Drosophila melanogaster: one gene and its partner. The protein of the gene in region 1 interacts with the protein of each later gene in a pairwise test. Each region holds a gene or a part of one and is shown in the gene's direction. Other genes may lie near its edges.

Region 1 (8,500 bases):
AATTGTATATTTGCACAGCATCCAGAAACAAATCCAAGTTTAAACAATAGGCTTTTCAAAACCACCTTCGTATATGCATATATAAATGATAATATAAAAATATTATCATTAGTAAAAAGTTAATGCTCTTTTCTGATCCCTTGGATTACATTAAGGCTTATTACTTATCGATATCTACTATTCCAGAGGGTCCAACAAGGTGGAGGACGCCATCGAGTGCTACCAGCGGGCGGGCAACATGTTTAAGATGTCCAAAAACTGGACAAAGGCTGGGGAGTGCTTCTGCGAGGCGGCAACTCTACACGCGCGGGCTGGAAGTCGTCACGATGCCGGAACCTGCTACGTAGACGCTTCCAACTGCTACAAGAAGGTGGACGTGGAGAGCGCCGTCAACTGCCTGATGAAGTCCATCGACATCTACACGGATATGGGCCGCTTTACGATGGCTGCCAAACATCACCAAAGCATCGCCGAGATGTACGAAAGTGATCCCAATAATCTGGTGGGTTCCCGTGTGCGCCTCCATGCTAATTACATATTAATGGACCATTTCCCTTTCAGGCCAAGTCTATTCAGCACTATGAGCAGGCGGCTGATTACTTCAAGGGTGAAGAGTCGGTCAGTTCGGCCAACAAGTGCATGTTGAAGGTGGCCCAGTACGCCGCCCAACTGGAGGATTACGAGAAAGCAATATCCATATACGAGCAGGTGGCCGCCTCCTCGCTGGAGAGCTCTCTGCTCAAGTACAGTGCCAAGGAGTACTTCTTCAGGGCCGCTCTATGCCATCTCAGCGTGGACCTCCTGAACGCCCAGCATGCCATCGAAAAGTATGCGCAGCAGTACCCAGCATTCCAGGACTCCAGGGAGTTCAAGCTCATCAAGGTGGGTATCAGTTTGCTTAAGTTTTATCTTTGGTGTGTGTGTGTCGTCTTTGGTTTTCGCAGATATTTACTTTAAGACGCTTTTCGAATTACAGGTGTTGTGCGAGAATCTAGAGGAACAGAACATCGAGGGATTCACAGAGGCCGTCAAGGACTACGACAGCATCTCCCGGTTGGATCAGTGGTACACCACCATCTTGCTGCGGATCAAGAAGGCTGCGGACGAGGATCCCGATCTGCGATAAACGAAATCAATTAAATTTTCGGATAAAATCGCGTACACATTTATTAAATGCTTTATTCGGTTCGGATATTAATCTACCTATACATATATAACTAAAAGAAAATTATTAAACGTGTTGCATTGCTTAACCTGAAAGCACCCAAACGACGGCCAGCTTGTACGCGTGAATTAAACCTATGGAATAGTCTATATTCCCGTATTCTAGAGTTTAATTTAACGTTTATGCAACGAATGAAGAAGGCAGCAGATGCCGAGGCTCAAATTGCGCTACCACGTGCTATTCAAAAGAAAAACTTTATTATTTCCAATGTGGAGTGATTAGAGGTGTTACTTATGTTTGTCTGTTTTTGCGTTACTCTTGTTATTTGTGTAAGTAGCCAATCAATCAGTGGGTTAGCTGATGTTCCATTTGGATGCGTAAAGTACCCTATAGAAATCTGTATCCACTACTATAATAAATTGAGAACTTCATTCTATGTGTGTAATGTGTTAGATAATTTTGAGATTAACTAAAGAGTCCCTGGTAGCGAAAATGAATTTCAAACCAATTATAATTCCATTTAGTGCACTGAAATAAAATTAAACCTAAAGTTTAGATTGTACGCATATACACAACCTACAAATAAAATATATGTCCACATAAACATTACCGATTACCCCGATAAATATCCAAAAAGTACACGGAATTCTAATAAATACTTGAGGGTCACATTTATAGAAAATTCCATCTCGCAAAATTTTAACGATGTTTAGTAGATCAACATGTACGAGCGAATTATAATCCAATAAATAATATTACGACGGAGCGACGAAGATTACGCGGTCGTCGAGGCCGAAGCAAGAATAAATAAATCAATTATTGAATTTATTGAATGAAGATCTCCAGGAAACACACAACACCACTGAAACCTGACCCAACACATTTAATTATTAATACTGCAAAGATCCTGGTAATGCCTCTATGCAAGCGTTACCACGGATATTTCCAATTCAAATACTTTAATAAAGTTAACGCTTGGATTAATCCTGTCATCCTCTCTTCGTATCCATCGATGTTTCCTAAAATGGTGCCTAGCATATATTCCAGTCCATCCATAAGCATTGTCTTTCTAGTATATCATTAGTTTGCACCTGTCACTTGGGAAAAAAAAATGTTTTTTACCTTGAAGTTTGTTGTTTATTGCACTTGTAAACTTACTGGTATTGAAAACATTCATTTGTATGATTATAAAACACAGTTGAGAGCTACCTGCATATGTCTTCTACAGCTCATATTTGATGTCATCTTAACCATCCATCCACGAGCTTACAATATTGCATATACATTTGAATACATGTAGTTACCTTTTAAAATATCTTGGATTCAGGCACAGTTGATGTAGATGTGATCTAAAGGTGAGTTACTGGAGTTAACCCGGCATTTCAACCAGTTTCACCATCGGATTAGCTGCAACTCATAGTAGTGATTCCACCTGATTTCCATTTCGCGAATGAGGCTTCATTGTCAAGAGCGGCAGACAAAGGTCTGCCAATATCAATACCGCGTTCTCTCGCTGCGGCTCTCGCATCTGAATCCGAGTCTGAACTGATTTGGACCCGGCTGTGGGACGATGGCGGTGGCGGTGGGATGGGATGACCATATCAGTACGGTGCTGAATGGTCGATGGAGCAGTCTCTCAGTCACTCAGTCACTCAGCTGATGCTCGTGCGTTAGGTTGACATTGTTTGTGGGGAGTTGTGTGGACGTGGGTTCGATCTGGCATCAAAATCTTGGCAAAACCGAAAACCACCAGTAGCTGGGTTCACAAATTGAAATAAATATATAGAATTATATAAGCGGCAACCGCATACGCGAACACCCCACCCACCTGTACGTATGGTCTCCTTGCGAGCGTGTATTTGTATACATAATATATGTGGAATTCCCCTCAGTGCATTCCGGTTTTCGAATAACACCGACCGACAACAGTGTATAGAGACATATAGATGAACGTCGCTTTGTCAACATCGAAAAACCCCAAAATACATCAATAAAAGGTTTAAAAGCCTCTCAATAATTGATGCACACCCACATGGTTAAGCAAAAGTGTGATTCATTTGTGTGCGCAATTATTATAAAAATTTTAAAAGCCCTGCCTGAAGGCCCAATTATAAATAATATTAAAAGCCCGGCCTGAAGGCCTGATAAGCGAGGCTTGAGCCAATTCTTGATCGCAGCCACAAAAAATGGGTAAAATCGCAGGTAAGCTTCGTGGTCAATTAATTATGGAATATTTCCCAGAGGCGGGGATGTTGTTTTAGAGGCAATCAATAAAGAGATTTAAAATTTACAAGTACTCGTGTGTGCACAGCAAACACATATTATGTACATACATATATACATTTTGTATTACGTACAAACACATGAGGTCGTCAATGGATCATCGCTATCAATTGGAAAATGCTTATTTTTACGCATCTGGGAATACTATATGTACATAGTACTCACGCGAGTGCCTTTGAATTTCATTCGATTTGATTAGACCGGAAATAGCTATGCCGGATTTTCAGGCAGTTTTTCAAAATCGAGTTGTTGGTTTAACTCATACGGAGTTCAAGGACAATTGGCTAACTGCATATGTATATGGTTTAAACTTACATTCTGAAATGAATAATAAAATTATATTCCGATGGAAAACAGTTACCGTAAAATGATTATTTAACTCGAAATTTATAAAATTATCCATCTTTAACGCATTTTAAAATGATGTTGGTGTAAAATAATACAATAATTTTAGTGCGGCTTTTAACATCATGATCCTTAATGAAATGACGTTCTAATGCACATCTTAATCCAGATTGCCTGATGCTATGGATTCCACTACTCCTGGGAGCCATCTTCCTGTGCTCGGCGGATCCTCAGAACAACCAAGCGCCCCTCCAGCTTTCAGTGGGCAATCCCCTTACCGCATTCACAGCTCCCACGGCTTTCCAAAGTGGCGTCAGCCATATCCAGTCCATGAGAAGCAACTTCGACACGGATGTCCTGGTCAGCATTTCGCAGGGGGTCCAGGACTTCGCCCTCGATCTCCTGCAGCGCATATCCGTTGAAGTGGAGAAGGCCAACAAGGATTTCATGATATCGCCCTTTTCCGTCTGGTCACTCCTGGTGCTTCTCTACGAGGGATCCGAGGGAGAGACCCGCAACCAGTTGAAAAAAAGCCTGCGGATCAATGTCGAGGACGAAAAGCTTCGGGGCGCCTACAAGGTTTGGAGCTCATTTCTGAAGTGAGTTTATAGGATTGCATATTTATGGATCGCGGTGACCCCCTTCCCTCTTCTAAGCATCACCACTTCCACCATCGAAGTAGCCACCCTGCAGGCCATATACACCGGCAAGGGGTATCCCATCAAGAACAACTACCGCGATGCTATTCAAAACTACAATGTCCAGCCGATGGAAGTGGACTTCTATAGCCCGGATTCGGTGATCCAGATCAACGAGGACACAAATCGCACGACCCGCGGTCTGATTCCTTATACCATTCTGCCACAGGATGTATATGGAGCGAAGATGTTTCTGCTCTCGTCTCTGTACTTCAAGGGCCAATGGAAGGTGGGAAGTGAACTTGTCCACTTGCAAATCCTTCGATATATCGTTTTCGCTTGCAGTTTCCCTTCAACAAAACGCTGACAAGAGAGGAACCCTTTTTCAGCGAGAGCGGCGAAGTCATTGGAAAGATTCCCATGATGGTGCAGGAAGCGAACTTCGCCTACGTCTCAAACGTAGAGGGTTTGGATGGCTATGTGCTGGAGCTGCCCTACGGCACCCAGGATCGTCTGGCGATGATCGTGGTGCTGCCCAAGCGCGGATTCAAGCTAAACGACGTAGCCAATAATCTGAAGGCCTTGGGATTGAGGCCCATCCTCCAGCGACTGGCGGCATTCAGGAACAGGGCCTCCGAGGACAACGAAGTGGAGGTCATGATGCCCAAGTTTGTGACTGCCACAGATTTCACTCTTAAGGGAGTCCTCATCCAGGTGACAGAACTTCTAAATCCAATCTGGAAATACATTTGTAAATAACTTCTAATTCTAGATGGGCATTCGCGATCTGTTCGACGAGAATACAGCCAACCTGGACCGAATGTCTTCCGGCTTGTTTGCCAAGCTGGTCGTCCACTCAACCAAGATCATTGTGGACGAACAGGGAACCACGGCGGGAGCCGTCACGGAGGCAGCGCTGGCCAACAAGGCCACACCGCCCAAGTTCCTGCTCAACCGGCCCTTCCAGTACATGATCGTAGAGAAGGCAACCGGACTTCTCCTCTTCGCCGGACAAGTGCGGAATCCCAAGGCGGCCTAAAAGTCCACCGACTCACACTTTACTCACATACCACAATAAATACGTTACGTTAAGACAAAAGGGGGAATTTTATTACGGATCCTTGCAACTCCCTCATGTACCACTTCTGTACTACTGTGGCAGCCCAAAAGATTCCTCTAACGTCACGGCCAGGAACTAAAATCTGTCAGGATACGTCAAGTAAGCAGCACAATGGGGAAGTCTCACTGTACCGCTATATTTTCGTCACATGTAAAAGTTGTTAACGTATTCTTATTAAAGAATATAAATAATATTAATTTACGCGACGATCTTGGTATTACTGATGCCAAGCTTTCTACATCAGCGCCCTCTTGCGGCTTTGAAAATCTTTGAAAATATCGAATAAAACGCGTAGTACAGCTGAAAAACTGCTGTAATGAACACTGTAAAATTAGCAGCTGCAAATTAGTTGAATGGTCTGAACAACTTCGGGCACTTTTGGTGTTCCTTCGCCATGTCACTGGATATTATGGATAAGGAAACTAAAAAAATCCAAAAAAATCGTTCTCTTTCAGAAATTTTGCCAGATTTGACCGACTTGTGGTCGATAGAGTGGGAGAAGAGTAGAGCTGGAGTCCGTATTCCCAAAATTAAAATATCTGTTTGATTCAATTCCTTGTCGATTAGCAATGTCTTTTATTTCGAGCTAAAACGTTAATAGCGTGACCTGGCCACTACTATTCTCCAGATCGCAAAATACGGAAGGTATACGAAGGAGTAAAGCAATACGAAGATAAGGAAACATAAGCTGCAGCTATTAAACGTGCTTGTGCCGCCAGAAGGACCGTTTTTTGGAAGTTTTTACTAACAAAACTCTTTACTGAAACATTTTTTTACTTTACTTTTTTTACTTTATTTTACATACTCATGACAAAATCTACGAGTAACTGATATAAAAAATGCAAGGCACGTGCAAAAAAACGGGAACATAAAAATAAAGTATACATGGCTTGGAATATTGAACTCCACAAATTAACGAAAGTAAATCATATAAATATAGTTTTTTGTAAATAAAAAAACAGTTTTGAGTAGTCTTCGGGTGCACAAAGAGGTAAGAAAAGTAAATGATATTTTTGCTTCAGCTGAAATATTTCTTATCGGTCTAGCCAAGTAAATTTTGTTGACAATATGAAGCTCGGATTTCTGGGGCTTTTTGGCATGGTGCTCATGATCATGTTCTACGAGGGAGCAGAAGGGTATACCGTCAATGAGCTGCGCGATGTCCTGGGGATCTATGTCGATTATCCAACACTGCGCAGGTGGTACGAGGATGTCCGAGCTTATCACTAGTAAGTACCACATTACTCAGAAACTACATCTATTAGAATTTTCAATGTCTTTTTCTTTAAATTCTAGTTTAAATTCGGAAAACACAAAACTGTTTTCGCTGCGTTACGCTTACTACGACGACGTAGGAGATTTAGAACTCGTGAAAGGGTACAACAGTGTAGTCCTAGAAGGAGTAGGAGAAGGAAATGTGGTTCTTCGAGAGGGTCGGCCAAGGGGTGTGGACTTCGACCAGGGGGCGAGTATAATAATCAACGACGATATCGACAAAGCCTCTCATGCGAAAATCTTCAGTTCTTATAGCCGTCGTTCGTTCAATAGTACAGTAACTGTGCTGGGGATTACTGTTAGCTACTTTAAGGCCAAATGGAAGGTAAGACCCAGAGCCAGATTCATCCTCGCTTGTATTGTATTTAATATATCTGATATCATGACTCCAGTATCCATTCGATAAGTCCCAGACGAAAGTGGAACAGTTTTACAACGACGGCGGCTCGCCGGCAGGTAAGGTGGAGATGATGGTGCAAACGGGGAAGTATGCCTACGTCAATAATGTAAAGGGTCTGCAAGCGGATGTCCTGGAGCTACCTTTTGGGGAACATGAGCTAGTAATGATCGTCTTACTGCCGAAGTCATCCCAGGGAGTTAACCTGGTGCTCTACCAATTGAAGAACCTGGGACTACATCGCCTCCTTGAGAAACTCGAGGCCTCCAAGAATGAAACTGATGTAGAAGTCAAGCTTCCCAAGTTCGATACGCGATCCGTACTTTCACTCGAAGATACCGTATATGACGTACGTAAAAGTCTCTAAAAAATACAAAGCTTTCGTCATAATGAACATCTTCCAAAGGCTGGACTAACGGATCTGAGGAACGACTTCGCAGATCTAGATAAATTGCTGATTGCTATCGGTCACAGAGGTGCGTGCCTCACCCTCTACCACCAATTCGCCAGGATCGTCGTAGATGAAGAGGGTTTGCCTAATGCTGTTCCGCAGAAGTCTTCTGGAAAAAATAACATCAAGTTCCATGTAAACAGGCCGTTTGCATACCTTGTCCTACAAAAGAAACACAAATTGCTCATTCACTCCGGAGTCTTTCGGGAAGGTGAGATCCAGTAATGAAGATAAGCAGAAAATACATTGGTTTTTTCTATGACAAATCACTTTAAACACTTTTATATTGTTCGTATATAATATCGATAAGAGCTAAAAAGAAACCGATTAGGCAATGTCAAATGGTTTTTAATTCTTGGTACGTCCTTTGCTAGCCTTTCTAGAAATGAGCGGATGCGTTTCTGTTTGTGCAGCTCACCCTTGGTGCCATGCAGGATCTTCACCAGGTTTCCAATAGACTTTTCCCATATGTAAAGAGCATGCTGGCGAGCACTGCCAGCGCAAATGTACTCCCCATCACCGGAGAAGCAGCACTTTTTCCAGGTGGTTCTAGATGGAATTAATATTGGTCAATCAAATGTTTATCAAGGGTTTGTTTCATATCATACTTATTGACCAAGTCCTGTAGCTTTTGTATAGGTTCCGGTTCGCCGTCTTTGCCTAGAATGATTATTTCTTTTGAGTCGTAAACACGAATAACTCGATCTGAGGTGTTGATTAGAAATGCGCTGAAAGATAAATTTGTTACGTTATGAAATCCCGATTACTTATTAGTACCCACTCTCCACGCCTCGCAAACTCGATGCTTTTTACAGCCGTTGCACTT
Region 2 (6,243 bases), on another chromosome or scaffold:
TTGTTTTTGAATTATCACTACTTCGGAGCGATCCCAATAAACTGACTATGTTCGAACATGTTATCCAGATGTCATGTGGCTTGATTAATGTCCTATCTTGGGGCTGGTTCAATTATGAGCGCGGAACAGCCATTGGCAAATGACAAACACAAAACTGTCTCGAAACTAAAACAATAAAAATAATTGCCTTTAATGTGCAAAAGCAAAAAATCAAGGGACACCGTTTTGGACGTGGAAGCGCGGATCTGTCTGTCGGGTGGGGTGCTAATAGATTATGCCGCAACGATTAGAGAGGCAATAAATACCACCTGGCCGGGATCCCATGCGTGTTTGGTTCGCGGGCACATATTCGGACTGCGATGACGACAGGTCCTCCTTGTGTCCTCCGCTGTCCTGGTGTTGACAATCTAAACGGTTCGGCCAAAAGGGTAATGGGCCTGGCCAAGGGTCACATTGGGGCACAGTTCGTCGGGGATGTACTCCAGATCACAAACAGGGATAGTTGGCCTATTCACAATGGTAATACTTAAATCAGTTTCGGAAGCATTTCCCCTATAAACACCTGCGACATTCCAACCCCTGAGAATAATTAGCCTGGTTAAGTGTCAAAAGGATGGCAGACCCCGCGACATGTGTTCCCAACATAATGATGATTATGACCACCCGTACTCAACTAACTACCCCGAAACTTGGATTTGTAGGAATTTTACTAGACGATTACAATTTGGAAGAAGTGTGGAGAGTGTGTGTGGCGCGTTACTCTGCTGATCTGCAAGGAAATGAACTCAATAAACGAAATGGTTAACACAACAAAAAGTGAAATCATTTAGTAGTTGGCTCCGCGCTGGATGCAGGGTCCGCTGGAGATGGATCCCGCCTCCAGGCTCGGACAGTTGACCTTCTGCAGCTCGGCAATGCGCTGCCATGTCATGTTGAAGTGGCGCGCGGAACGGGCATTGGAGAGTTTGGCAATGGGTCCCAGGGTGCGGTATCCATTGGTAATGAAGCGTATGAATCCCTTGGCCGTTAGGTCCAGCAGAGCGGTCTTCACCTGCGACTCCAGATCGCCACAGGCAAAGGGTCTATTTAGATGATTAGCATTACCATTACCATTAAGTATATTACTCGATCTGTCTTACTCCTTTTCCAGCATCTCCAGAATGTGCTCCTCGTGGATACCATTGCTGTACTTGGGATGATCCTGGAAGATGCGCACCATGTCCAAAATATATAGCGGCAAATTGATGTGGTAGCTGTTGAAAGGAAGCCGCAAGGTGGTGGGCTCACATTCCCTGATCGATCCTTCGTCACACATTTCGTTGCTTATAAAAATACGATTTCCTTGTTCGATGAATACTTGTTAGATGAATACTATTCCGAGAGACAGGCTAAGCGAAGCCTATGCTTTGACTGTAGGATGGGGGCAGGGCCCACTTGGTCATGCCCCAGACCCCCGGGTGCTAATGTCATCCAATTAAAGGTGTCATTAACGGTTTGTCCACCGCGAAGTCCACGAGGTTTGCTCTTCAATTACTGACCAAACAAACAACGAAGCAATAACGTGTTCTACTGTCTAGATTACCCGGTAATTTGTCTAACGCATTAATAGCCTATGTCCAAAACGATCCTCCCAATGCATTAGCAATGGGTCCCCGGGGTGGGTAAAAAAAAATCGAACTCAGTCCGTAGAGTAGAAGTTTGGTGGTTTGGTAATGCCAACCAATTCAAACCGATTCCAAAACGTACTGCTTTCTATATGTGTGCATTTCGAATCCATCTCGCTCGACCCTTTGATGGATATTAGACTGCCTCCAATTCTCCAGACATGTCACTCCGGCACGCAATCCATTATTTCCGGGTTCGGCTCTCAGTTGGGCCAAAACACCATAAACGAAACATCGGTGGCATGACAGTCAAAGGGTTAACTATGTATGGCCCAAACTTTTGCCAACAGATAATAAATTAGCGCATACATTATGAAACGCCATAAGGATGCGACTTCCGGTTGCCGGAGACGGCAAGGACTCCGTGACCCAAACTGCCAATTTACCACCCCGGCAAACAAACAGGTGACACTTTCTCAAACCGAAACGAAACGGAACGGGTTAAAGACGACACACGGAGTTCATTTACATGTCGATGGTTGTTGGATATGCATACGGTGGTCTTGGATGTCGTGAGTGGCATTGTCGGAAGGCAAGTAAAATTTTACGATTTTGAAGAATCATGCTTGATCAAAATAAAGTTGGTAACAACTTTTTGATGTCTTAATAATAGCGGATTAGGCATATTGCAACTTTCTGACGCTGCAGTTTTTGGAGCTCAGCTAAAAAGGAGCAGAAGCTATTCCTCTTAGGACTATTGAAATCGATTGGTACACGCTGGAAAAATCCTTTAAGTCTCAAAAAACCTCGGAAATAAAAAGTTCACATAGAGCAATTGAAGATATATTATGCCTAGAATATCTGATAAAATGATTTGGAGTGATAGGAATCTACAAGAACTATCAGTTTAAGGATCAAAAAAAGTATATCTATTGTATAATGGTTCAAATAAGATGGCTTCATTTTAATGTAATGACTAAAAATTGCATATTCATGATTTACATTTTACATTACCCCATGTTTTGCTATATAGTAAGATATCCTAAAGGATAACTTTCAGTGAGTGCAAGTAGGCTTCCACCACGCCTCTTTCAGACTATTACCGCTGTTATCGCTGTTATATTCGTCCACAAAATGCCGGTCGATAGCCAAGGGTCACTCTCATTGGTCAGCGCATGGACAATGGGTAAGCCTTACTATCTCCGCCCCAACACATAACAGTTGGTCAACTCCAAGGGCCAAGAAGTGATCGGCGAGCGGGGAGAGGTGGACTGGACTGGGCTGGGGGCATGTAATCTGGCTAACCAGTTATATGAAGTCCTTGTAACCGGGCAGCACAAATAAATGCCATGCGGCCCCGGCCAAGTGTCATGTATTTGACGAATAATTACCGTCAACATTGCGTGATTGGTTGAATCAGCCGGCGATGGAGGGTTGTGGCTGGCTTAGAATTAGCCCCAAAGCGGGTGTATGTGTGTGTGTGTGTGTGTACGTGGGGGAGTTTGTGTGACAAGAACCTATAATTACCACGGCAGGCAGGTGGTCGCCTCGCCAGTAGCTAGCTTCTTAGCCAGGAGCTGGATTCAGATATAGCCCGGCCGTCGGCGCGAACGGAAGTCACCGATATAGGATGCACTCGCCCGCCCAGTCGCCCATTTTGGATGTCACCGAGACCGTATCGATGCACTCCGAACTGGATGCGGAACTGGAGTCCAAGAACAATCCGTCCTACTCCATTTCCATTCCCCAGAATCTTCGGCTAACCGGTCTGGGCTTTCCCGGCATGATCGGTGCCAAGAGATCGTCGGAAACTCTACCCGCCTTCGAGTATATCGCACCACCAAGTCACGCTCTCCAGGCACTGGAATTTCCGCTGATGGAGCTCAATCGTGTGGGCGTAATTGGAGGCGGTATGTTTCCGGGTTTTGTGCACCGTCGCGTCCGCGGTGAAAAGCGACCCATTCCGGAGGCTCAAAAGGATGCCAAGTACTTTGAGCGGCGCAAGCGAAACAACGAGGCGGCCAAGAGGTCCAGAGATGCGCGGAAAATCCGCGAGGATAGGATAGCATTCCGAGCAGCGCTGCTGGAGCAGGAGAACTCCATTCTGCGGGCGCAGGTCCTGGCGCTGCGGGATGAACTGCAAACGGTGCGCCAGCTCCTCGGAGCCACAACAGCCGGCGGCATGTTGTCCATGGCCAGGCAGGTGTGAACCACTCTGCGGGATCAGATGGAAAAGTGTACATATCAATGAGGGAAGCTAGTGAGATTATTTAGTTTGATGTTAATAAATGTTTAAAATAAATACTAAGGATATTCTAATAATATATGTATGCATATGCAGGTGTCCCTTAAAAAAATATGTTATTCAGATATATAAATATTGGCCCATCTATATAGAGTATTTTGCTAGTGCTAGTACTATAGTTCTATAAAGTCATATATATATCATTTATATATCACAAATTGTGCAATAGAAACCATTAAAATTGATTAAAAGTGAGTAGGACTAGTTCGAGTTTATTTCATTTTAAAAAATGATTTCAACAAACGCATACAAATAATTAGAAAATATTTAACAAGCTAGTAGTCCAGAGTGCGCGACTGCACCTTTCCAGTCGAGTCCAGGATGAGCAGAACCTGTTCCTGTCCACAACTTCGAGCACCGGCAATGTCCGTCACCTTGAGGCGTGTGTCCATGAGCTCCTCCACGGGTAACTCTCTGTCGCGATAGAAATCGTAGTGACGCACAGTGCCATTGGTGAGGGCGGAAAGCTGCCAGCCGTCGCTGGAGAGGATCAGGGCCTGGACGAGATGCTGGCGCAGACCGCTGCCACTTAGGAGCAGCTGCTGGTCAAAGACCCTCATTTCGTAGGAACGCCTGGGTCGCTCAATCAGCTCCAGAGCTGTGTTGGGTCGGGCATCGTACGTGGGATTGTCATCCATCTGCTGGTCAAATGATCTACGCTCGTTGAGTATGATGTTTTGAATGGCACACGATTTGCCCGTCTCGGGATCGGGCTCATCCGTGGCCGGCGGAAGTCCTGTTTTGGGTCTCTGCTGATTCCTCTGGCGCTGCCTCTGTCGCTGATTGCAGTTGAGTATCATCACAGATCCATTGGACAGACCCACGGCCACATAGTTCTCATTGGAGAGCACACACAACGAGGTGGGAAACAGGAAACGACTTTCGTTCACGGCGATCCTCGCGAAGCGTTCCGTCTTCAAACTACGCGTGCAGCAGAGCACAAAGTTTCGGTTGGTGCACACATAGATGAGCTCACTGCCCGTATCGATGCTGGTGAAGCGCAGGCCCTGCAATCCCTGTCCCTGGAGTGCCGTGGTCAGCGTTTGCGTGTCATTCAGCTCACGCAGCACATCATCGCTGTAGATGTTGCCCTGGAACAGGGACTTGGTCTTCTCGTACGCACTCTGATGGCTCTTCAGGAGGCGTCGCTCCAGATAGCTCCTCAGATCACAGCTGCCACTCTGCAGTAGCTTCACACGCGCCCACGGCGAACTGAACTCGTTGCTGTTGGTGGACGAGGCGCCCTCCACCAGGGTCCACATGGTCAGCAGGCCGGAGTCATTCAGCGAGGCGTACTGTCAAAGGATTGCATATATAATTAATTATATGTATTCATATAGATCTTTACATAGAATTTATAAATGAATACTACAATAAAACCTACCTGAACTTCCTTGTACGTCGTCTGCAAACCACTAGTCGCAGCTACTCCTCCAGCATTCAAGTGTGATCTAAAGCTGCGCACATCCACCACAGCGCCCAGATCCATGGCATTTACCTCCTTGTCCTGTTGCTCCGGCATGGGAACCACCGATTGTGTGGCTGCAAAATGGGTTAGGTGGCCATCCAACTTGGAGCAGTAGCTGTGCGTCTCGCGCAAATCCCACATAGCCACACTACCATCTCTCAGTCCGGCCACCACGATATCCTGGGCCTGCGCAGATAGTGCCACACGGCTGACTTCCGCCCAGGTGGAGAGCAGGCGCAACGGCTGGCTGGGATTGGCCAGTGACCACACCATCAGAAGGCTGGCAAAGTCCTCCTTATATACATTGCTGTCCGCAGGACACTCGTGCACGGTGACCACCAGTTGTCCATTTCCGGCACTTCCAAAGATTCGACGCACAGGCAGTGCGTTCAGCAGTCCCGTCTGAAGTGGTACATTTCGAGGACTATTCCCCTGGCCGTGGGCCGTGGTTTTGCCCTCCAAAACCAGTCCCATAAGTCTGCCGGCCCTGTGAAGAAACGAATTCAGTCGCTCCAGATCCGTGCTCTTGGCCAATCTCTTTTGCTGCAGTTGCTGGGAGCGTGCCTGCTCCAGGCGATGCAGTTGCTCCAATCGAGAAATGCTAGCTTCGTATTCATCTGCAGGTTGCTTGCTCCATGTTTCATCCAACTCCGCATCGACACTGCAGCTGAGAACGAATTGCCCACCATAGTGGGGTGGATGTTGGGTCCAGCTGCTACGACTGTGCACCTCCAGCGTCTGGCACTCGCCGTCCATGTGTGGTGACTGCGTCTGTGTGGCCACTTGACTGGCATTCAGCTTCCCATAGCTCTGCATGAATCCCTCGTAGCTGAGGGGCTTCATCTCGAACAGGTGGTAGTTCAGTT

Evidence for each region. The genes of interacting proteins can lie anywhere in the genome.
Region 2: the proteins of Spn77Ba (region 1) and CG7786 interact in a two-hybrid assay, tested with the Drosophila melanogaster proteins (one large-scale study listed by BioGRID).

The regions. Positions count from the first base shown.
Region 1 is NT_037436.4:20,314,422-20,322,921, forward strand, and holds Spn77Ba (serpin 77Ba), read left to right. Parts: upstream 1-2,768; 5' UTR 2,769-3,351; coding exon 3,352-3,367; intron 3,368-3,962; coding exon 3,963-4,392; intron 4,393-4,449; coding exon 4,450-4,720; intron 4,721-4,776; coding exon 4,777-5,145; intron 5,146-5,203; coding exon 5,204-5,470; 3' UTR 5,471-5,695; downstream 5,696-8,500. Other genes in the region: alphaSnap (alpha soluble NSF attachment protein), read left to right, coding at 187-502, 562-882, 977-1,126; Spn77Bb (serpin 77Bb), read left to right, coding at 6,620-6,780, 6,848-7,151, 7,219-7,572, 7,630-7,899.
Region 2 is NT_033778.4:16,231,928-16,238,170, reverse strand, and holds CG7786 (uncharacterized protein), read left to right. Parts: upstream 1-3,234; coding exon 3,235-3,813; downstream 3,814-6,243. Other genes in the region: CG3687 (uncharacterized protein), read right to left, coding at 827-1,082, 1,140-1,315; CG15701 (uncharacterized protein), read right to left, coding at 4,185-5,204, 5,294-6,243.